Arabidopsis thaliana: one gene and its partners. The protein of the gene in region 1 interacts with the protein of each later gene in a pairwise test. Each region holds a gene or a part of one and is shown in the gene's direction. Other genes may lie near its edges. The genes, in order: NAC071, GATA17, HB27 and NAC088.

Region 1 (6,018 bases):
TTAACAAATTAAGTGATAAATTGTGGGATCTTCTCATTTTCTAAACTTTTTTTAGTAATTCTGAATTTTGTTTTATTTGCGACTAAGAAAATTTTGGACCTAAACCCATAATTTCCTCAGACCAAATATTAAAAATGATTAAACTAGTAATTTTGAACTTTTTTTTGTGAGTGATATAAGAAACTATTACACTGGTTGAGATGCGGATAAATAAGAGTCTTACCATTCCTTTTCACTTTTGTTTTTCACTTTCTTTAGAAGATATAGCTGGCACAAAGTAGTACATTAACTTTGAATAGAATTTTCCGATTGTAAAGTAACTATAAAACCTATGTGTAACTGTATTATAATGAAGAATTATATTCTAGCTCCCTCTTTCACACCAAAAGAAAATGAAGATTTATATTGTCTTTCTATTGATACGGTTAACTAAGTTGATGACAATCTACAAAACCATTCAATATGTATATATATTGTCTATCGATAAGTTTAGCAATATTTACTTTTTGTCGGAATCGCGGACTAGGAAAAATCACATGTCGGCAAAAACGAGAACACGATGACCAGTGTGGTGGGTTGGTAATTTGGTATATTTGGTTGGTCCATGATATCGGTTGAATCTATTTAGAATTTGCAAAAATAGTTCCGATATGACTACTGATATGAATTTACCCCCGGACATTAATTAGTAACGACATAATATTCAAACGTATATGGTACTTTTTGATATATAAAATTAGGGCTCAGTATAGTCAACATAGAAGATCCGTTATTCGTATTTCATAGGCTAACTTCTTCTTTTCCTACCATATGACGTAGTTATTCACGCTTTAGGCCTTTTTCTTCATTTTTGTTCTTTTGTCTCTCTTTAATCAGTGTTAGGGGTCATGGTGACCGTTCCTAAAGTATCGTATAATTATAAGGTGCACTTTTTGGTATATAGAACTTATTAACCTTATACATTTCCATCTCGTGAAGTCATTCGTTTTCCCAATATTTTTTTATTTTCTTTTCCTCTTGAATATTTCAGCTATCGGGTCTTACACAAATGGGAACTAAACTTTAAACTACAACTTTACATCTTAAACAATAACATATTTCCGGTAAAAAGAAGACAATAAACAAAATTTTCTTCAAAGTTTTGTTATCTCTTCTAATGTCTTAAAAGTTGAAAGTGGTTACTCTAATAAAAAGCAGTTTTGTCTTACTCATACTGACGTGGAGGAACATTGTTACACCCCCTTCAAAATAGTCAAGAAAAAGTTTAGAATATTGAACGAAAGGAAAAATAAAAGAATTAGCTAGGACCGAGTTTCTATGACCTAGAACTAAAACTCCCGTTACATACTTATATCAAAGAAACGAGCTAGAAAAAACATTAGAGAAATGTAAAATATATCTCTCTCTTTTTGGTTAACCAAGGTTTACTAATCCGATATACAAGAATGACATGCAAATAAACATAGGGTTAAGTTGTAAAGTAGTCAGATATTTAAACTTAATTATGGAATTGGGCAAATTACTATTTATAATTGGATTTTTAGTCACTAACCTTTGACCCTATTACAGACAAAATCAAATATACCCCATACCAACTCTATTATTTACAAATATGCCACTAATCTTCTTCTTCTCCAATGTCGTTGAAAGCAATTGGGATTTGTGCTTTTAGATTCAACATTTCTCTCTCCTCATACTCACATTCTTTGTATTTCTTTATATATATATATATATATATATATATATATATATATATATATATATATATTTATTTATTTTTTAATAACCTCTTCAATCTAATAATTGAAATGCTTATCAATGTAAATTTATTTTCTAAATTAATTCAGATACATAAAAATCTATATTTTTTCTCTATAATTTGATATGCATTTTGTTAATAATTTTAAATATATTATATAAACATTTTTATTAGTAGTCAGTACAGTTAATTATGTGTACAGATTTTTATTTATACAACTTATTTAATAAGTACAAATTGAAATCGTCCAGCCATAATTGGAAAAATAGTCATTTTACTATTCACAATTTGCAAAGTAGTCACTTTTAACTGTTTGATTCGTACACTTAGATCTGTACAACATTTTTTAGTGTACAGATGTAAGTGTACGTTGTGTATATTTATATATATATATATACACTAAAAATATTGTACAGGTCTAAGTGTACGAATCAACAGTGAAAAGTGACTACTGATAATTGTATACTCCATACAATTATATACTCTGTACAGCTAATGCAACGTACAAAATAAAGTCTGTACACATAATTAAGTGTACCGACTACTGATAAAATGTCTGTAATATATTAAAAATATTAACAAAATGCATATCAAATTATAAAGAAAAATACATAGATTTTTATGTATATGAATTAGTTTAGAAAATAAATTTATATTGATAAGTATTTCAATTATTAAATTGGAGGGGTTATTAAAAAGAAATAAAAAAAAAAAGAATATTTCACTTTTATCTTTCTTCTCTGTCAAAAGGATAGTTCGGTAATTTCAAAACACATCACTTACCCCACCCCAAACTTCTATTTCACGCTCGTCTATTACACGCCCAAAGTGAGTTACATGTTTTGTCAAGTGTAAATAGTAACTTGCCCAACTCCATAATTATGTTTTCAAAAGTGACTAATTTGCCAACACACCTATAAACATATCGTTTTACAAAACGAAACGACGTCTTATGAAATTAAAAAATAGAAAAATAAGTTTTGATTAATTATAGGTGATAGTATTATTGAATCATTGATGTGTGAAGTGTGAACAAGTCTAACTTTAGAGACCAGGTAGGTCCACTTTCTTTTTGAATTTTGGGAACTCTTAAGACAAGCAATGTCTTTATCCGCTTTCGGTGTGTCGAGTTATTTTTTCTTCTGAATATTAACGGCACTGACTATTATAATACTGTTTGTTTATTCTACAGAAAAATTCATCAACATATTTTAAGCTATGATTAAATTTGCCTCACAAAGTTTCGCAACCTTTGTGCTATAAATATCATTCACCCCACAACCATTCAACACTCTACCAACCTTCTCTTCTTCTCTCCGATCTTAATCACTCTCCTAATCAATACTCACTAATAACTTTTTTTTTTTTTTGGTCTTGTATAGCTAATAAGTCAGAGAACCCTTTTCCTCAGTCAGACTCTTTGACCCGCAGCAATTAGCTCTTCCACCAACTGCTCTTCGTTATTTCTGAATTGTACCTTAAGTTTGTTTCTATTTTTTTTCTTAGGTGTTAGATATATTTTTAAAAAGAGAATTTTGGATAATTCGTTTTTTTTTTTGTAAACATACAATCTCTTTCAGACAATGATATTGTCACAAAAAGGATGCAATCAAAGTGAGTTGCAACTTATTTTCAAAAACAAATTGAATGTCGAAAAAAGTTTATATTTTTAGATTTTCCAAATAGTCAATAGATATTTAGTTAAATATTAGCTTTCGACAACTCTCTTGTGTCGCAAGCTACAAGTGTGAATTTTGCAAATGGGGAGTTCATGTTTGCCTCCAGGATTTAGATTTCATCCAACTGATGAAGAGCTCATAGGCTACTACTTGAGTAGAAAAATAGAAGGTCTCGAGATTGAGCTTGAAGTCATTCCTGTTATCGACTTATACAAATTTGATCCTTGGGAGTTGCCAGGTAATTTGAAAAGGAAAACAATTAGATTTTTATCCATAAATTTATATTTAAATAAAACTAAATTTGTTTGATTTTATCTTTGAATTTTAGGTAAATCTTTCCTTCCAAATAGAGATTTGGAATGGTTCTTTTTCTGTCCAAGAGACAAAAAATATGCAAACGGTTCTCGAACCAATAGGGCTACAAAAGCGGGTTATTGGAAAGCAACTGGTAAAGACCGGAAAATCACTTGTAAATCATCGCATGTTATAGCTGGATACCGAAAAACCTTAGTTTTCTATGAAGGTCGTGCCCCATTAGGCGACAGAACTAATTGGTTTATGCATGAATATCGTCTATGCGATATTGATGATCATTCACAAAAATCACCAAATTTCAAGGTAAGAAAATTAGAGTTCGTTTCATTTGATCCAACTTCATAATATTCATTTTTATGAACTAATGGAACGAAGCCTAAAAACCATATATATGTTTGAATTTTAGGGAGCTTTTGCGTTATGTCGCGTAGTTAAGAAGAATGAACTGAAGAAAAATTCGAAAAGTTTGAAAAATAAAAACGAACAAGACATTGGTTCTTGTTACTCTAGCCTCGCGACCTCTCCTTGTCGCGATGAAGCGTCGCAGATTCAATCGTTCAAGCCTTCTTCTACTACAAACGACTCTTCAAGCATTTGGATTTCTCCTGATTTCATCCTTGATTCGTCAAAGGTACCTACATCTATTATCTAAACCAAAATAGTTTTTGTATAGACAGTAGTGGTCTGATATGTGTTTTTGGTTTTGTGATTTTAAATATAGGATTATCCTCAGATTAAGGAGGTTGCTTCTGAGTGCTTTCCCAACTACCATTTTCCGGTCACCACGGCAAACCACCACGTGGAATTTCCGGTGAGCTCTTGTTATTTCAATGTGGACCAGGACATTGATCAGTCGATGCAAACCGGTTATTGGACAAATTATGAAAATGACCAAACCGGTTCATTTGACTACTCAAACCTTTTTTAGCTACAAGAAATGTTGGTTCGTTCTTAGGACAAAAACGCCTTTTAACGTTGGTGTCTTGGAACTTGGAAGAAGAAGAAGAACTAGTTGTGAACGTCTATCATTTTCTTTTGAGAATTTAATTATCTTACTCTTGGTTTTTATTTTAGTTTTATATATATTGTTTGCTAATATAAGGAATGAGTATAATAAATTCCTTATTTAAAGTTTTTTCGTATGAAGATTTACGTTATTATAGAGTCTTATTTTAATGTTCCGATACCTTTGATATGATATATGCAAAGAGAATCAATCATGTTCTTCTCAATCATTAATTGGACCAAACTTATATTATATAAAGCAACTTATGTAGAAGTCATAACAATCATTTGCATTAAAAATCCAATATTTTGTCTATAAAAGCAATAGTTTCGGGACCATTTTGACATTTCAAAAGTTTATGTAAACAAAATTCCATAAATATGCAGAGATTAAAATCAAAAACTATGTGACGCAGCAATTTGTTTACAGATGTATGAAAATCCCAAAAGCTTGCATTTCTCAATTGTTAGAGACCTTTCAAACAAAATTCTTTTTTCCATGAGCTTTCTACATTTCATTCTTTTAAAATTTATAAGAATATTTCTTCCTCTTGAAAATGATCTACGAAATACTTTTGATATATAGTCTATATGATTTACAAAATGTGAACAATATCAAATTGGGTCCATAGCTCAGTGATAGAGCAATTGACTGCAGATCAATAGGTCACCGGTTCGAACCCGGTTGGGCCCTTCCTTTTTTTGTTTTTTCTTTTTTTTCTGTTTTTCACTTTACAATTAAATTCCGGAAATTCAAATTGCCGGACCAGAAATAACCGGCCTTAAACATTACGACTGTATCTTTCTCCTTGTATTGTTTGTCTTAACCAGACATCTCAATTCATTACACAACGAAACACATAATAGTTTTTTCTATTCAAGAAACGATAATTTTCTTATTAGTAAATTCTGAAAACGAAGACACGAAAAGGAAAAAGCATCCGATTCCTAATTCCCATCATCGTAAAAAGGACAAACCGAATCATACCAAACCGAATCGAATCGCATCATCGACCCCTTATACCGATCGGTTTAGTCTAATCTAAAAAACTCAATTTATCGTCGTCGTTCGTTGCTTCATTCCGCGGCACCGACACTGATCGTAACATTCGCCGGGTTTTCGCATCGGACATCGTCAGCCGTCTGATCTCGCTTGTTATCATACTCCTTAAAACTTGCGATCCTTCCCAATTCCTCAACTTCTTCGATTACATTATCGAGCCTCGCCACCATTTCCACTAGCAACGACGCAAACGCCGC
Region 2 (5,631 bases), on another chromosome or scaffold:
TCAATATTTATATAATTGTGTTCAGAACTCAAAATTTTGTAGCTGCGGCACGATTTTTTCGTCTCGTATCCAATAGCATATATATATGCGTGATGGCTTCTAGGTTTGATCCACCGAGTTTGCCCCAAATACGGATTCCAAACCACATCTCTAGTGTTACTGAAGCTTTTTGTGATGCATACCAAACCACCGCAATGATAGACTCGACACATACCGATTGGGTTAATAATTTTACCATTACACTTTATAGATGGTTCAACGTCTTCTTCCTTGTTGAGATTGATGTTCATTAAACAAAACTTAGAATCCATCATCATGATCACCATAAATTCCTTGGCAGCTTTTGTTTGAACGAGTTGCTTCTTTGTAAAGCTTTCTTCTTTGGCTAAAGTGTTCCACTTTTTGCAAGTCAATCGTATTGCTCTCATAGAATACAGTGGACTTCTAGAGAGTATCTCCTCCAACAAATCATTCGGAAGTTTGGACATCTTTGTCATTGTTTCAGCACTCAAGGATGATCAATGTAATAGAAATTTAGGGTTTTACTCTCACGCTTTCCTAATCTTTTTAATCGACAAGAAATAAGTTAGGTAACAACTTTATATGCCAACTTTCAAAAGTTATTTCCGTGAAAAAAGAAAAGGAAACAATAATTCTTTTTACTCCCTAATGGGCTAATTAGTATAATTAAACCACTATAGTGTAAAAATTAAGGAAACAATAATTCTTTGGCCAGATTCTATTTTACATGAGCATTGAAGGACTTTAGTCTTGTTTACCTCGAACACTAAATAACAAAGGTTATATTTTATAGAACCCAAAAAACAAGTCTTTATTAGGTCTTTACGTCTTTATCTCCTCCAACAAATCCATTGGAATATTGGATATCTTCGTCATTGTCTCAGCAAGGTTTCGATGATGTAGAAAATAGGTTTTTTTTTTTTGACTTCATAGAAAATAGGGTTTTTTAATTTAGAGTTATATAGTCAAATAAGTTACGTTACTTTTTTATGCGGCGACCTTCAAAAGCTCTTTCCAGTTCCAATTTTCCAATTTTGTTGTATTTTGTACTAATTTCCTATATTATGGTAAAGGGCTTGTCTATGGAATTAAGCCCAATCTTTTAACTTTATAATCGGTCTTGTTTTTTGCTGATGGTTTCTGCAATGTGGTTGTTTGAGGAGCTTTGTGGTCCTAACTTGGCATCCAAGGAAGAAAACCTTGTCTTTGTAGAACTTTGAGGTTAATTTAGTCCTACAACTGCGAGGTTAATTTCTTTCTTCCTTAATAATCTGCTTGGCAAAGGGTCATATCAATGCTCAAGTACGAGTTACATTGATACACAAAGAATTTCAAATATTGAAATTATCTCATCTTATTGGTGAAGTCTTACATATGTTGCAGAGTGAAGCTCCAGAACTCACCCAAAAAAATGCTCTGATGCATACGAAGGAAACTCATAATCTCACTCTTTGTCTTGATGATAAATATGTTTGGTCATTGGTGGTCAGGTCTCAAATCATCTTTCTGTTGTGATATGATGAATTACTGCATGAATATGTCAAAGAGAAACTATCTTCTTTTTCATGTTAAAAGAACACACTGATTAACAATTCCTCTAGTTCCTCTATTACTAACAGAAATGATCATTGAAAAATTAAACGGAGGCTGATCACTTTTCAATTCCATCATATATAAACTGTTTGGAATAAAATCAAATATGCCTTAGTTAATAATTCATACAAGACATGAGAATACAAACTAATTTTGGATTTGCACTAAACTTGAAACATAAGTGGGGAAGAAGTTATGTTTGAAGATTCTTTGAAATTCACTTTTTTGAAAATATCCATCCTCACTCCAATGTTTAGAGTTCACACCGAACATCTTCGTAAGACCAAGATTGAACAAACCTCAAAACTTTGTGGTTGAGGCCGCATGATTTGTCATCCACGTATCCTATGCCATACTTAATCCTACGGTGACAACTTAACGGTTCGAACCACCGGGTTTTCTTTGTGGGTAGGTGCATCTGTACTGTAATTTCTTCTTCTGTAGCTCAACTAAAAAACTGTACTGCGTTATCATGCTCATGGGCCTGGACTATCAAATTGAGCCCAATGGATATTTATCTTACAGAATTTTGCCATTATTTTTTTGTTTTTTTATTAATAATCCAGTCATCATTCATAAGTTTTTAAAAAATTCATTTGTTGCATTGATTGTAAATAAAACCGACGTAAAACTTTATTAGTTTATTATAAATTTTGACATTAGAAATAAAATAAAACCAAAAACTGAAAAAAAAAAAAACGTGAAAACAGATTATTGTCAGGACAGCGACCAATAACAAACCCTAGCCGCAAAATTTGAAAGCGGCTAGTTTTAAAAAACAAAAAATCAAAACATTGTTTCAGATTTTAGTTATAAGTTTTTGGGCGGGTGGCACAAAATTAATAAAAGCTCCCGCTCGAGGGTATTTTAGTCAATTCAAATAACCCGAAATACTAGGGTTTCCGCCCCCGCCTTCCTCCTCAATTATAAAATTCCTCTCCGTTTGTTTAATTCTGTTGCTACTAACCGCCGTCTCTCTCTCTCTCCCTCTTCCTTATCATCAAAACTTGCTCTGCTCCGATCTCTTAAAAAAAAAAAGATGTCTGAGGGATCAGAAGATACGAAAACAAAACTCGACTCTGCCGGAGAGTTATCAGATGTTGATAACGAGAACTGCAGTAGCAGCGGAAGTGGCGGTGGTAGTAGTTCTGGTGATACCAAAAGGACTTGCGTTGATTGCGGAACTATCCGAACTCCTCTTTGGCGTGGTGGTCCTGCCGGACCAAAGGTGAGATTTTTAACTAACCCTTTCATTTCAATCTTCTTATAGTCTATTGGGTTGTTGTTAGATTCCGATCTAGTAGATCTAATCAATGGATCGCGAAATAGCATCTATATTATGCATGATCCTATTTTAGGTTTTATCGTTTTTCAAATTTATTTAGGTGATGAATCAATTTAGTGACCGGAAAGATCTGATCTCATATTGCTCTGAAGTTCAAATTTTTCTTATTTCTTTGGTTTGTCTTTTGCTATGTAGTCATTGTGCAATGCTTGTGGGATCAAGAGTAGGAAGAAGAGACAAGCAGCACTTGGTATGAGATCAGAGGAGAAGAAGAAGAACAGAAAAAGCAATTGCAATAATGATCTAAACCTCGACCATCGAAACGCCAAGAAATACAAAATCAACATAGTTGATGATGGCAAGATCGACATCGATGATGATCCGAAAATTTGCAATAACAAGCGTAGTAGTAGTAGTAGCAGTAACAAAGGAGTGAGTAAGTTTTTGGATTTAGGGTTTAAAGTACCGGTGATGAAGAGATCAGCGGTTGAGAAGAAGAGGTTATGGAGAAAACTCGGTGAGGAAGAAAGAGCTGCTGTGCTTCTCATGGCTCTCTCTTGTAGCTCTGTTTACGCCTAAGTGTTTCTCTGTATTAGGTCATAATCAAGTGAGAGCGATTTTGATTAACTTAATTAGATAGAGATAATATGTAATGAATGTGTAAGTTCCTAGTTTTTTGGTTCCACTAATGTTTTGTGTTCATTTTCTTGATGAATTCAAATATCAACACTTTTTTTTGGTTCTTAGTCATTCAATGCCATAATAATGAGAATTGGTCTTAATTTTTAGTGCCTCAAATGTCATTCTCTGTGTATGGGCCCATATGGCCCAAGATATTGGGCTTTATCGGGGGAATCGTGAGGCGCGTGATTCTAGTTGTCTTGTCTCCGTCAACTCCACCATTTTTTTGTTTTTTGGTCCATTGATGTCGTTTTTCATTTGATTTGAATTTTTATATGCTTTTGAATTCACAACTGGTTTCAAATTCAGATTTTGTATGGTTTAGAGTTTTTTTTATATATATATCATGCTGAGGTTGTATACTTCGATTTGTTTTTTCATTTTATTGAAGGATGGCAATTTTTCGATTTGCACTTGGCAGAGTATCTGTTTGTGTGATTAAAAGTTGTTATGGTAACTTTGTAACAGGGACAGTGTAAATTTTCGATTTGCAATTGGTTTTGTTTTTCATGTAAGCGTATGATTCAACCTTAATAAGCCATCATTAATAATTAATAATGGTGGACCAACAAAATTTTAAGTAATGTTAAATATGGCAAAGTCATGAATCATACTTATAATTTTTTTTTAAAAATCTAAAGTGGTGACGAAAATATAATTCATTTAAATGGATCACTGGTGGACGAATGGTGTGAGTGTGACATGGCTAGGTAGAGCCGTGAACCTCGAGAATGATTCAAATTAACGGGGCAACTTCGTTCAACGGGGGACTTTCTTTTGACCAAAGCTTCTATTTATGTGTTTCACCCTTATATTATGCAGTTTCTTCGATTTAGGACCATTACTTCCATTGATTCCTTTATTTTCCTAAGCAAAGAGTACAATTTAGGAATAACTTGTCGATATTTTCCATAAACACCATTTCTTAATTTTGGAGATACGTTTTCCTTATTATTTTTCACAAATTCAAACAAAATCTTCATAATATATTTTAGCTATCAAATCACACTCTCAATACATTCAAAACTTCCATAAACACTCTTAGAAATCACTAAAATTTAGTAGACAGAAATATCAGTAAATATTTGAATATAAGTCATTTAAGCGAACATTCTATAAACTGTGTTTGGTATCAATGTTTTATAGCTAACGATTAGGTGTAAATTACACATTCACATAATTACTAAGATATAGGTTGGGGTTGCATTTTTTTATTAACAGAAATATATGGTTCATCTTGTAATTTGAAAACTTAAACCCACTATTTTATAATTTTGTCAGAAGAACAAAACCTTGTCTTTGGCTTTTGTTCGTAACCTTTGTTTACTTGATCAAGAAAAAACATTAAAATCCGACCAAACAAGGAAATATACACATTTTCAACGCGGACATAAATTTTCATTACAGCGTCTTACTAAGCTGTTCTGTTCTTTAACGCGGTCTCTTCCTCTCTTCAAAATTAAACTTCCGATTTTTCACCTTTTCATTTCCAGAATTTGTTTTTTAAAAAAGAGATTTTTGTGAGTGAAGAGATTTAGAGTAATCATGGGTTTAACTCGAAATTTCATTTTATGGATTCTTTTGTCATCTCTCTTCACGGCGATTCAACTAACGTCGTCTCAACGCAACACTCCACCACCACGCTCTAAAGACGCCGATCTCTGCAACGGCGTGTTCGTTTCCTACACTTACTTAACCGGTACCAAGATTAAACCAAACGACACGAAGAACCAGCCGTACCGGTTCGAATCAGAGATCACGGTCCTAAACAACGGCCGCGACGAGCTTAAATCGTGGCAAGTCTTTGTTAAATTCGCCCACCGCGAGATTCTTGTTTCAGCGACCAACGCTGTTCTCTCTGACGGTTCTAGCCTCCCGGCTAGCGTTGAGAACGGGACAATCTTCGCCGGGTTTCCATCGGCGGATTTGAAGACGGCGATCATGACGGCCGGCGACGTAACTCAGATGGAAGCACGTGTTGAGCTCGTGGGTACTCAGTTTGGAGTTGCTCCGCCGAGTGTTCCGCTTCCGAAGAACATCACTCTTGTTAA
Region 3 (5,539 bases), on another chromosome or scaffold:
TCCGCTTCTTTTCAATAGGTTTCTAGTTCGATTCATGAACTGTTTCTGCAGTCAATTTCGAACTTGTGAAATCTCCATAACTTGTGCTTTGAATGTATTTGCTAAAGCTATAATCTTGTTGCGTTTCAAAAACCATCCTTTGGAAAAATTGGAGTCTTTTGGTTGCTTATTGAAATTTGTTTGCAGCTAATTTTGGGATCTTCTTCGATTGCTCGACGTAAGATACTAACAGATATGGGATACCAATTCACTCTCATGGTAATTTCTTGTTCCTTTGAAATTATTATTCAAAGACTGCATTTTTGTATTTGGGCTTCTAGTTCAAGTAGAAGTTTACTGGTAATTGTTAATGTAGAGTGCTGATATTGATGAGAAAAGCATCCGCAAGGAGAAACCTGAAGAGTTGGTTTTGGCTTTAGCTGAGGCAAAGGTAACTTCATTAGTCATCTGCAATAAAATGGTTGCTTTTATGGTTCATGTTTCTTTTTGTTAATCTTGTCATCACAGGCTGATGCTATTGTGTCAAAACTACAAATTAGTGAATGTGAAGATGAGGAACAACCGAGAGTCTTGATTGCATCGGATACAGTATGTAGTTTTTGGTTTAGCTAATTACTAGTAAAGTCTCCATCTACTATCACCAAGTTCCATTTTATGTTCTTGGGAATGCATCATCATCTTCTTTGGAAATATACACTCTTACGTCGTAATAGCTCTGATTTGTCCTGCACCAGAAGTTGCTTTATGGGTTTTATCTCTTTAGGGTCCTCTATATCTTACTCTGAAGCTAGTATTTGTCATTCTTTAGGTCTTGATCTACTCTTGTTTATTCTGTGAAATTTAAGTCTTTATGCTCTGCCTACATGATTTGATATCGCATGTTTTGTAGCTCCGCCTACAATTATCATTTCTGCTTCCACCAGTGTTTTTATTAACTGGAGGGACCTGTTTCATGCATATATCTTTTATTAAGCCAAAGGTGTTTTATATAGCATTTGCTCTTCATCAGTCTCATTGATAAACCGGCATAATTTTTTCCCAGGCTGAAGCAATCATGCAGCGGATCCCTGATGGTGAAAACATAGAGGAGGATAAGTCGACCTTACTTATTACTTGTGACCAAGTACTGAGCTATATTTAAACTTTCTGTGTTTGCTCAAAGCTTTACTATGATATTATCAACTAGCTAGCTGTAATGGACACCCATGTTAGGTTAGGTTAGTGATTAAATGGAGTCTAAAGAGCTAAGATTGTTTAAACATTCAGGTTGTTTGTAATTTATAGGAGTTGACTAATGAAAGATGGGGCATTCTAAGGACAGAAATGGAATTTGGTGATAATAGATAGTCTATGAGAGACTTGGGTTTAATGTTTTGAATTGTATGAAGGTGGTTGTCTATGAAGATGCTGTTAGAGAGAAACCCTCGAGTGTCGAAGAAGCAAGGGAGTACATAAGAGGTAAGCTCACATGATTTGTTTTGCTTACTATAACTCAAGGCTTAAGGTTAAAGAACTAAATTCAAAACACAGGCTATTCCAAGGGGCATACAGCAACAGTGAGTTCTGTGGCTGTGACAAATCTCAAAACAGGAGTCAGAAAAGGAGGCGTCGATAGAGTGGAGGTAACACTATAATCTTGCGTTTCATTAAAGTTAGGATTGTTACAATTTGGGAAATATATAGCATCAGCTGATGATGTAAATTCCTAACAGATCTATTTCAATGAAATACCGGAAGAGACTATCGAGAAACTGGTGAGTGGTGTTTTGTACAAGTTTAAGACATATATTTCACCATATCAATATTGAAGTTAAGGCTGTGTTGATGAGCAGATTGAGGAAGGCATGGTGCTTAAGGTGGCTGGTGCACTCCTAATCGAGCATCCGCTAATCTTGCCATGCGTTAAGGAAGTGGTTGGATTCCTTACCTTGTCCATTTTAAAATATGAACCATTATATGAATTTACAAGGATTTAAGTCTATATAGTCTATCCCTTCTTCTTCATAGATACACATGTTGATCATACGGTTTCGTTCCTCTTGTTCTTTTAATACCGTTTTGGAGCATGGGATGTTAAACTAGGTTGTATTGTTGTATCAGGTTGGGACAACAGATAGTGTGATGGGTCTGCCCAAAGAATTGACTGAGAAACTGATAAAGGAAGTATTGGCAAGCACATAGGTACATTCGTCGCCTCTGAATGTTGGTGTATTCATGTTGTGAGGATTATAGATAAGTTTCGGAGTTTAATTTGGGAAATGAGCTTAATGTTACAGTCAAACTAGTTTATTCAGTTGTTTTACTACCTCTTGTTTCTGACTTAACCTTTAGACTGGAATTGGTAATTGATAGCGTGATATTAGAGAGGCTTACCATCAAAACCACCCAAACCGAAGTAAACCAAACCGGCTGAACCTAAGTTTAAGTAAATAAGGTTTGTGTTGGACTTACGGTCTCTTGGTTTGGTTTGGTAGCCCCTAACCAATTGGTTACGTAATTTATTTCCGGTTAAACACAAGTTTTGTTGGAAAACGGAAACTGTGACTGGTCACTAGTCACTATCAAGCAGCCTAAAAAGTATCGACTCTTCTTTATCAAAAAAGTTTACACAAACACTTTCTCTCCACTGAACTCATTTTCTCTCTTCTTCTTCATCATCATCATCAATGGATGAGATAAAACCAAAGAAAGAAGAGAATTCCAAACGACGTCGTAACGTCAAACCCATTTGCCGTGAAACTGGAGACCACGTCCATTATCTTCCAACATGCAAAACCAAGCCCAAACCCACGCGTACTCATCACGCGCCACCACCGATCCTCGACTCAATCTTCAAAGTCACTCACAAGCCACACTACTACGAATGCAGGAAGAATCACGCCGCTGATATCGGAACCACCGCTTACGACGGCTGCGGCGAGTTTGTTAGCTCCACCGGTGAAGAAGATTCTTTAAACTGCGCCGCATGTGGCTGTCACCGTAACTTCCACCGTGAAGAGTTAATCCCGGAGAACGGCGGCGTTACTGAGACGGTTCTTGAAGTTCTCAAGATTTCATCGTGTCAGTTTCGTCGGATCTTTTGCTCACCTTACGGCGGTGGAAAAAGCGAAGGAAAGAAGAAGAAGAAGGAGAAGGAGAGTTATGGAGGGGATCCGATAATTAAAGATCGATTCGGCGGTGCGGAGGAGGAGGAGGGGATAGTGAAGAGGTTGAAAACGAAGTTCACGGCGGAGCAAACGGAGAAAATGAGGGATTATGCGGAGAAGCTTCGGTGGAAGGTGAGACCTGAGAGGCAGGAGGAGGTTGAAGAGTTTTGTGTAGAGATTGGAGTGAATCGGAAGAATTTTAGGATTTGGATGAATAATCACAAGGATAAAATTATAATTGATGAATGATTATTTACCAAACTTAATTGTGTTACTTTTCTTTTCATTCTACTTTGTTTTAATTTGTGTTTGATTTAGTGTAATGTATAAATAACAAGCTCATTATTGGCTAAAACCAATTGTGGAGAAGGATTTGCCACAACCTTCGTAATCAATAGTTTTAATGCAAGAAGTAAGTAATATTTCGTTTGGATTTCTGATCTGCTGTGCTCATTACTTGTAAGTTGGCCCAACCCAAAATGTGAATGGTCAAGAACATGAACATGACAAGGTTCTTAAAACACAATATTACAAGAAAGAACACCAACTATGAAAGCAGACCCCAACTACACGTTTCTTATACCAAAAAACTGACTTGGCCTTCATTTCCTACATAAATCTTACTTGTTCTTTAAGTCCTGCACTGAGTGATAGAGCCTTGAGAGGGTTTACCTAGAGAAGCCTACAATATGGAATTTGGACTCCAAGCTTGTGCAAATTTGAACGCTTGCTTTAAACATAAATATGTTTTGTCTAAATGATTTATCTCGATTTTTTGCACTATTATGCGAAAAAGACCGTTAGTTGCGTTCCTTTTTTTTTTTTTTTCTAGATTTAGGTTTATAATAGTAGATTGTTTAATTTCTTAACTCACTTACTATTTTAACTTGCATGTGTTTATTCAACCATCTTGTTTTTGTTCGCAACACGTAGTTTAGTTTCAGTTATCTTAAGTACTGTCATTCATATTTAGTCTTGAGAATATCAACAAAAACTAAACGATTCTTAGCTTAGTTCATATCTCATATCTTTGGTGTGTGACATTCTTAATATTTAATCATCGACCTTGTTATTACGACCACCTTCCTTCACTTTACTCTTTCGATTAAGTAATAAAAATTCGGACACAACATCTATAGTGGACTTCATCCAGATTAGTCTTGAAGATTTACACGGCCGCACTAGTACCAGAGCAAAATTGATGAACATATCGCTACAACCGGAATAGTAGGCAACCCTTTTAAGCTTTACCGCTTCATCTAATCATCTTCCACCTATGTAGATGTCCTCACATTGAGATGACAAAGTTGTATGGAGATATATACTCTTATACGAGGACATCCTCTACAAAGTTGTATGAAGAATACACCAAACAATCGAAAGTTTGTTAAGAGTTTATCTACCGATTCTGTCTTTTTCTTTCTTCACCAACTCTTGATTGTATGTGAATGTTAAATGAATTATAGACTAATTATTTTTTATTCTATTTTTCTAACTACAAAAATAGAAATCATAACGCAAAAAGAAAAAGTTTCTTACCATTGGCCTTTGCCAAAAGGATGCGAATTTTACATATGTACAAGAAGTCATCAAGAACTGCTATTCCATAATTATGATTAATTAGGTTTCATAGAATAAGTAAAAAATATATATCTGAGTCATTATGAACACTTACTTGATCAAAGAGGACAATTTAGATAATCGCCGAAATAAAAAAAGAAAGAAAGAAAGAAATAATTCCTTTAAGATCATCGCAATCTCATGGGATGTGCCCGTTTAGCGACTAATCCTTCTTGTTGTTTTATCCGCAAGGAAGATAGTGAAGGCATAACATGGTTATCTTCAGGCGTTGGCGCCATTGACGGCTCCATCATCAACTTCTCTTCTTCTACGTGACTAACAAACTCTTGTGCCAAATGCATTTCTTCTGAATATCCCATCATTCTTCTTGGACCAGAGTCCTTGATTTTTTGTTCTGAAAACCATATAAAAAATATTGAATATTTGCAACACAATGGTCACTATAGAACAAATTAAACTAAAACGTTCTTTTTTTATTAACCAAAACATTTTCCGCTGAGCCCGTAGCCTCCTAAAGACCGAGAATATACCCTTATTGGGCGTATTTCATCCCTTCCAAGCAGGATTGAATTGGCAATGAAAGGTTCAACTTCCTTTGCAGGACCGAGTCAACGATGATATTATCGACTAATAGATGAAGTTTGATGTAACAAGATTGGTAAGAGGAATACCTTGATCATTAGAGAGTGGTGGAAGATTTTTGAGAGATTGAGACCAGCTAACAAGCATTGGGGTGATAATGGTGAGAAGAGCCCAGAAGAAGAAGATCATTACGTAGGCCCTTCCTTTCATTTCTCAACAACAATTTAATT
Region 4 (4,780 bases), on another chromosome or scaffold:
TAATAAAAATGAATTAACAATTCTTGAGTAGGACGAGTATGAACTTACAATGGCAGGATTCATGAATGGTCTAGTGAATTTAGAACCTACGACAAACACCGATACGGTAGCGAGTGCGAGCAAGAACGTTTTCGCGAGCAGTTTTCGAGGACCTCTTAGGATAATTAGTAAAACCAAAAATGTAACACTAAAACTTAGGACCACTTCAGAAATAGCTCCATTGTGTGCACCAAATTGCAATGAAGGCTTTCCTCCAATCCTAGTCTTATACTTTTCCGGTATCATCTCCATGATCGTTATCGCACCGCCTGCCGCACCAATTGCCTAAGATATATAAAAGGTTACATTACATATGGAAACAAATATGCCAGTGGGTACTTGGGCCAAAATCTCCAATTAAAAAAGTTTGTACGTTATTCAAAAACACACATGGACCACACACAATAAACTTCACATAGATCCAACAAACAAAGAAAATACATTGCTCTAACAACAAAATAAATGTAAAGAAATTCATAAACAATGTGTAAGGATAAAACTTTAATAGATTCTTATTCGAAGAGACAAGACACAAAAGCAAATACTCATATGAAAAGATGTCACAAGTATATGAACAAAAATCTTTCTGTTCAGAACAAAATAAAGAACAAGAAGAAGAAGTTGGTTTGGTTTCAAAAGCTAGCTTAGATCATAAACACACACCTGAGCAGGAGATCTAATGGCCAAGGAGAAGAGAGAATCACTGGAAACACCGGCGGTATAAAACGCTGCGTTTCCACAAGGATTGAAGCTAGCACCACCAAGAACGTTTCCAATAACCGTAAAAATCGAGATGGAGACAAAAACAACCAACGTTGAGATCACAAGAGGAGCCCAAGTGATACCATGAAACCCTACGGCGGAAACAATCGCCGCCGTCTGTATCCCAAACGTCGCCGAGAGAATAACCCACAAAAAGGTTATCACCATATCACCTAACGCCGATTTTACCGCACTCATCGTAAGTATCGTTTTTTTTTCTTTTTCTTGAACGTTTGGGTTTAAGAAGATTGTTTTCTTCTTGTTGAAAAGAATATATTTATCAGTCCACTCAAAACTAATATTCTTTTTTTATATAGAAGGAAGATATGTATGACTATGAGTGACTCACCTAACGGTTAGCTGAATTTTGTAGAAATGTAGATAGACTATCCCAAATTTATATAGAAAACAAATATACTTTTGTAACTCTTAGAAAAAGATAATTGAAAAGTTTGTAGAGAAAAAGATGAAATCCTTATGCTCTGATTAACATAGAGGGCCTGTTTAATTCCAAAATGGGTTTGTTGTACAAAATATGTAATGAGTTCATTTCCATATTCTCTGCCACCTCAAATGACCATGGTTCCTTTTTGGTGAGCTCTGACTATGGAAAGTCTATACTGCTTTTTTTCTTTTTCCTTTTTAGTGTACTAGTGTACAAATTATAATGATCAAATGAATGTAGACACTATTGAGAACAGATACATGTAAAAATTAACTTATAGGAATTGAGCACAAACAAAAACCTTTTTTCTTTCCTTTTTCCAGTATATATTAGAGTAAAAAAAAATGATATACATAGGCTGGTATATAGTCAAGATATTATAAAAAAAGAAAAAAAAAGGACAGAACCTAAACGAGAAACATAATTTATGGTTCTGCAGAAAGTATACCCAAGAGGCCAAGACCCCCTCTTGGGACGAAAAAGAGAGAGTTTGTTGCATTTCTTGATATTCAAGTAATGAGATCGCATGTTATTATTAGCATAAATTCGTTAAACGATATTAGCTAAAAGAATTAGGATATGCTTATGAGCATAAGTATCAGGGGTCGGCCCTGAGATTTTATTGTTATCTAACCTTAGAACCCAAACTTGTGGTCTGTTTAGCCAAGGTTAAGAAAGAAAGGTTAACCAAACCATTGCTGACTATTGGACTCTAGATAGGCCCAGCCCAGTGCGAAACCATACAAATTTTTTTGTTTTCCTTTTGTATCTCCTCTACATAATTTTTTTTTTCAAATTGATGTGTTTGGAATTATTGGGCCACAAAATAAATGTCTTTAGTTTTTTGAAAAATTATTAACTATTATTCGTTTATTTTTTTGACATCATTATTATTCGTTTGGTATAGCCCTGTGCCTATTGGATTTATTTTTATAAAAATAACATGAAAAACTTGTAAACTTTCCTTTTTGTATATTTATATATATCCAAAACTAATCCAAATTAGATAATATTCAATAGTCGGTTCTCAATCATACTCCACTTTATATAAACCTCATTAGAGGAGGTTCATAATTAATTCTCTCTCATTTGACTCGAGGAAATTTCAGAAGAAGAAGATGATGCCGATGACTGAAGAATTTTACGATGAAGAGGAAGAGCTTGGTTGCTTTAGATTTAATCCTTCAGAAGAAGAACTCATACTCGATTATCTTCTACCAAAGCTTGGCTTCCACCAACCAAACACGATATATTTGTTAGAAGACAGGGACAACATCTACGCCAAAGAGCCGTGGCGGCTTAATCACACAGAGAATGATATCTTTGAACCTAACGAGTGGTTTTATTTCGTGAAAAGGACAAATCGCAAAGTTAAAGGTTGGAAAGCCACTGGAGAGTTAAAAGATGTCGTGTCGAAGAAAACCGGTGAAGTGATCGGGAAGAAGAGGAATCTCAGGTTCTACGTTGAAGGTGATGAGAGCAAAACGAGTGGTTGGACCATGAGGGAGTATTCTTCCATTGGCAATCAAAACCAACGTCTCTGCCACCTTAAAGGACCATGATTCTGTTTGGTGAATATCCCTCAAAAATATGATGATTATGGAAAACGATGACTTCTTTTTTTTTTTTTTTTTTCTAAAGGTAGTTACGTTACTCATCATCATTTTATTTCGTTGTGTTTCGTTTGAAGATTCTCCCGTATTCTTATATCTTTATTAGTATACACATTATAAGTCAAGGATCTGAGAGTCTCAATGTTTTCTTGTTTATTTAATTAAAGATTATTCAAGTTTTTTATGAGGAGCTTTGCAGCTCTTCGCATGTTACTTTTTTCATAGATAACAATAATGGTTTCCTTTTTTTTCCGAGGAAGACAGTACGTATTATTCATATAATGTATGAAAATATAATGAGATATTAATATTTTCTTGAGAAATATATGAAATAAAGCTTGTATCTAAACTCTAAATCCAAACCCTAGAGTAGAAGAGGTAAACATGTTTCAACAAACTTTTATGATAAGAACTTATCTTTTGTACGTAGTATATATCAACAAAAAAGGAAGTTTGCTAGTTTTCTTGCTCTATTTAGTCAATCTATAAAAGATGAAAAAAAAAAAACGATATTGCTATTTGATTTCCTATATTTTTGTATGAATTGATTGTAGAGGATTCTTCTTCTTCTGAACATATTGTAGTAATATATATATTTTTAAAGAAATATTAGATCGAATCTCACAAACGGAAGAATCTTTCCACGTTTTGAGGAATACGGTCTGTCACTGTCACCTACACATATGAAATATAAGTCTGTTTAGGGTTTTTAGCGTCGGTCTTCAGATTTTGTTGGAATAGGATGTCCTAAACATCAAAGATCTAAAAATTAAATCAAAATTGAAGAAAAAACCTTAGATACAGATCTATTTTTGGACATTTAGTCACTCTTTTGGACGCTTCTTTGGACACACAAACACACATACCTTAGACACATTTTTCAAACATTTAAAATTTTAGATCCTCTATATTTGGATCCCATCATTGGACAATGTCAAATATAAATCTAGTTCAAATGTCTATTTGTAAATTTTTTATTGTAAAATATGGATCCCATTGTTGTAGATGCTCTAAGGGAAAATACGTATGGTCAATTTTGTCAAGATTGAGAAAGAAAAGTTGAACCATATATAATATAACTTAACATTGATTATGTTTTTCTTGTGGTATGTTTTGTTGTTTTGTTGTTTTTAGTTGTAGTTTTCAGTCTTACTCTCTTCTTTGTTTGATTGTTTCCCTATTAATCGCTGATGCAATTCAAAAATGGTATAAATATTTAACGTTATAAATTAATATAAGGTGAGCAGGAAAGCTTTATATTTCTTTATTACTTGCAAGTTTCATTACTTGTATTTCATTTCAATATTTATAGGATAAAGTTTTATAACATAAAAAATATAGTAGCTTCAACTTTTGTTATTATATAGTCTATGCAAAACCATTTTAAACCGACAGATAAATGCACACAACTGACAAATTTGTTGTTGGTTGAGGTATGGATTGGCAGCAAAAAGGAACTTTTAAAAATGTGAACTTTGACTGTGAATCTCCCAAAAACTCCCAACTTCTTCACCGTCATCGTCAAGCTTACGCCAACCACTTAATTTATTACACATAGACTATCATTTTTCTAGAGACAACCCATAAACAATAAAGCTACTTTTTCAAATGTAACCCCCATATTCTTTTTGTTTTGCTTTGTCAATAAATGTAAAGCCATTTTTTATTTTGTAACTGAAACATTTTCATTACTATTTGGCTAAATTAGCTAAACTTTTCTTCAATCGTTTGGCTCACGCTTCTTTTTTTTTTTTTTTAACGCGTGCGTTTAATTAATCTAAATGCAAACCATAAATCTATAAATACTTTTTACTAAAGAGAGTCAGTTACTCAAATGGTGAATAGCTTTATCATTCAGTAGCTACAATTTACGGGAAAAGAAGTAATGGTATCCAAATATTTAATTTATAGTGCTCTGAAA

What was found.
Region 2: the proteins of NAC071 (region 1) and GATA17 interact in a two-hybrid assay, tested with the Arabidopsis thaliana proteins (one large-scale study listed by BioGRID).
Region 3: the proteins of NAC071 (region 1) and HB27 interact in a two-hybrid assay, tested with the Arabidopsis thaliana proteins (one large-scale study listed by BioGRID).
Region 4: the proteins of NAC071 (region 1) and NAC088 interact in a two-hybrid assay, tested with the Arabidopsis thaliana proteins (one large-scale study listed by BioGRID).

Annotation. Positions count from the first base shown.
Region 1 is NC_003075.7:9,977,540-9,983,557, reverse strand, and holds NAC071 (NAC domain containing protein 71), read left to right. Parts: upstream 1-3,002; 5' UTR 3,003-3,519; coding exon 3,520-3,676; intron 3,677-3,766; coding exon 3,767-4,056; intron 4,057-4,159; coding exon 4,160-4,384; intron 4,385-4,474; coding exon 4,475-4,681; coding exon of another isoform or gene 4,682-4,708; 3' UTR 4,709-4,855; downstream 4,856-6,018. Other genes in the region: ALMT12 (aluminum-activated, malate transporter 12), read right to left, coding at 5,836-6,018. UniProt on the Arabidopsis thaliana protein: Transcription factor involved in tissue reunion of wounded inflorescence stems. Required for the division of pith cells in the reunion process, which is dependent on polar-transported auxin and the wound-inducible hormones ethylene and jasmonate.
Region 2 is NC_003074.8:5,761,599-5,767,229, reverse strand, and holds GATA17 (GATA transcription factor 17), read left to right. Parts: upstream 1-2,469; 5' UTR 2,470-2,653; coding exon 2,654-2,842; intron 2,843-3,094; coding exon 3,095-3,478; 3' UTR 3,479-3,733; downstream 3,734-5,631. Other genes in the region: AT3G16880 (F-box and associated interaction domains-containing protein), read right to left, coding at 1-497; COBL8 (COBRA-like protein 8 precursor), read left to right, coding at 5,126-5,631. UniProt on the Arabidopsis thaliana protein: Transcriptional regulator that specifically binds 5'-GATA-3' or 5'-GAT-3' motifs within gene promoters.
Region 3 is NC_003076.8:17,152,175-17,157,713, forward strand, and holds HB27 (homeobox protein 27), read left to right. Parts: upstream 1-2,543; 5' UTR 2,544-2,666; coding exon 2,667-3,395; 3' UTR 3,396-3,583; downstream 3,584-5,539. Other genes in the region: AT5G42770 (Maf-like protein), read left to right, coding at 187-258, 356-430, 508-588, 1,043-1,123, 1,389-1,458, 1,531-1,622, 1,713-1,754, 1,833-1,913 and 1 more; AT5G42785 (uncharacterized protein), read right to left, coding at 4,895-5,121, 5,399-5,519. UniProt on the Arabidopsis thaliana protein: Putative transcription factor.
Region 4 is NC_003076.8:6,055,409-6,060,188, forward strand, and holds NAC088 (NAC domain containing protein 88), read left to right. Parts: upstream 1-2,364; coding exon 2,365-2,808; downstream 2,809-4,780. Other genes in the region: SIP1;2 (Aquaporin-like superfamily protein), read right to left, coding at 49-324, 703-999.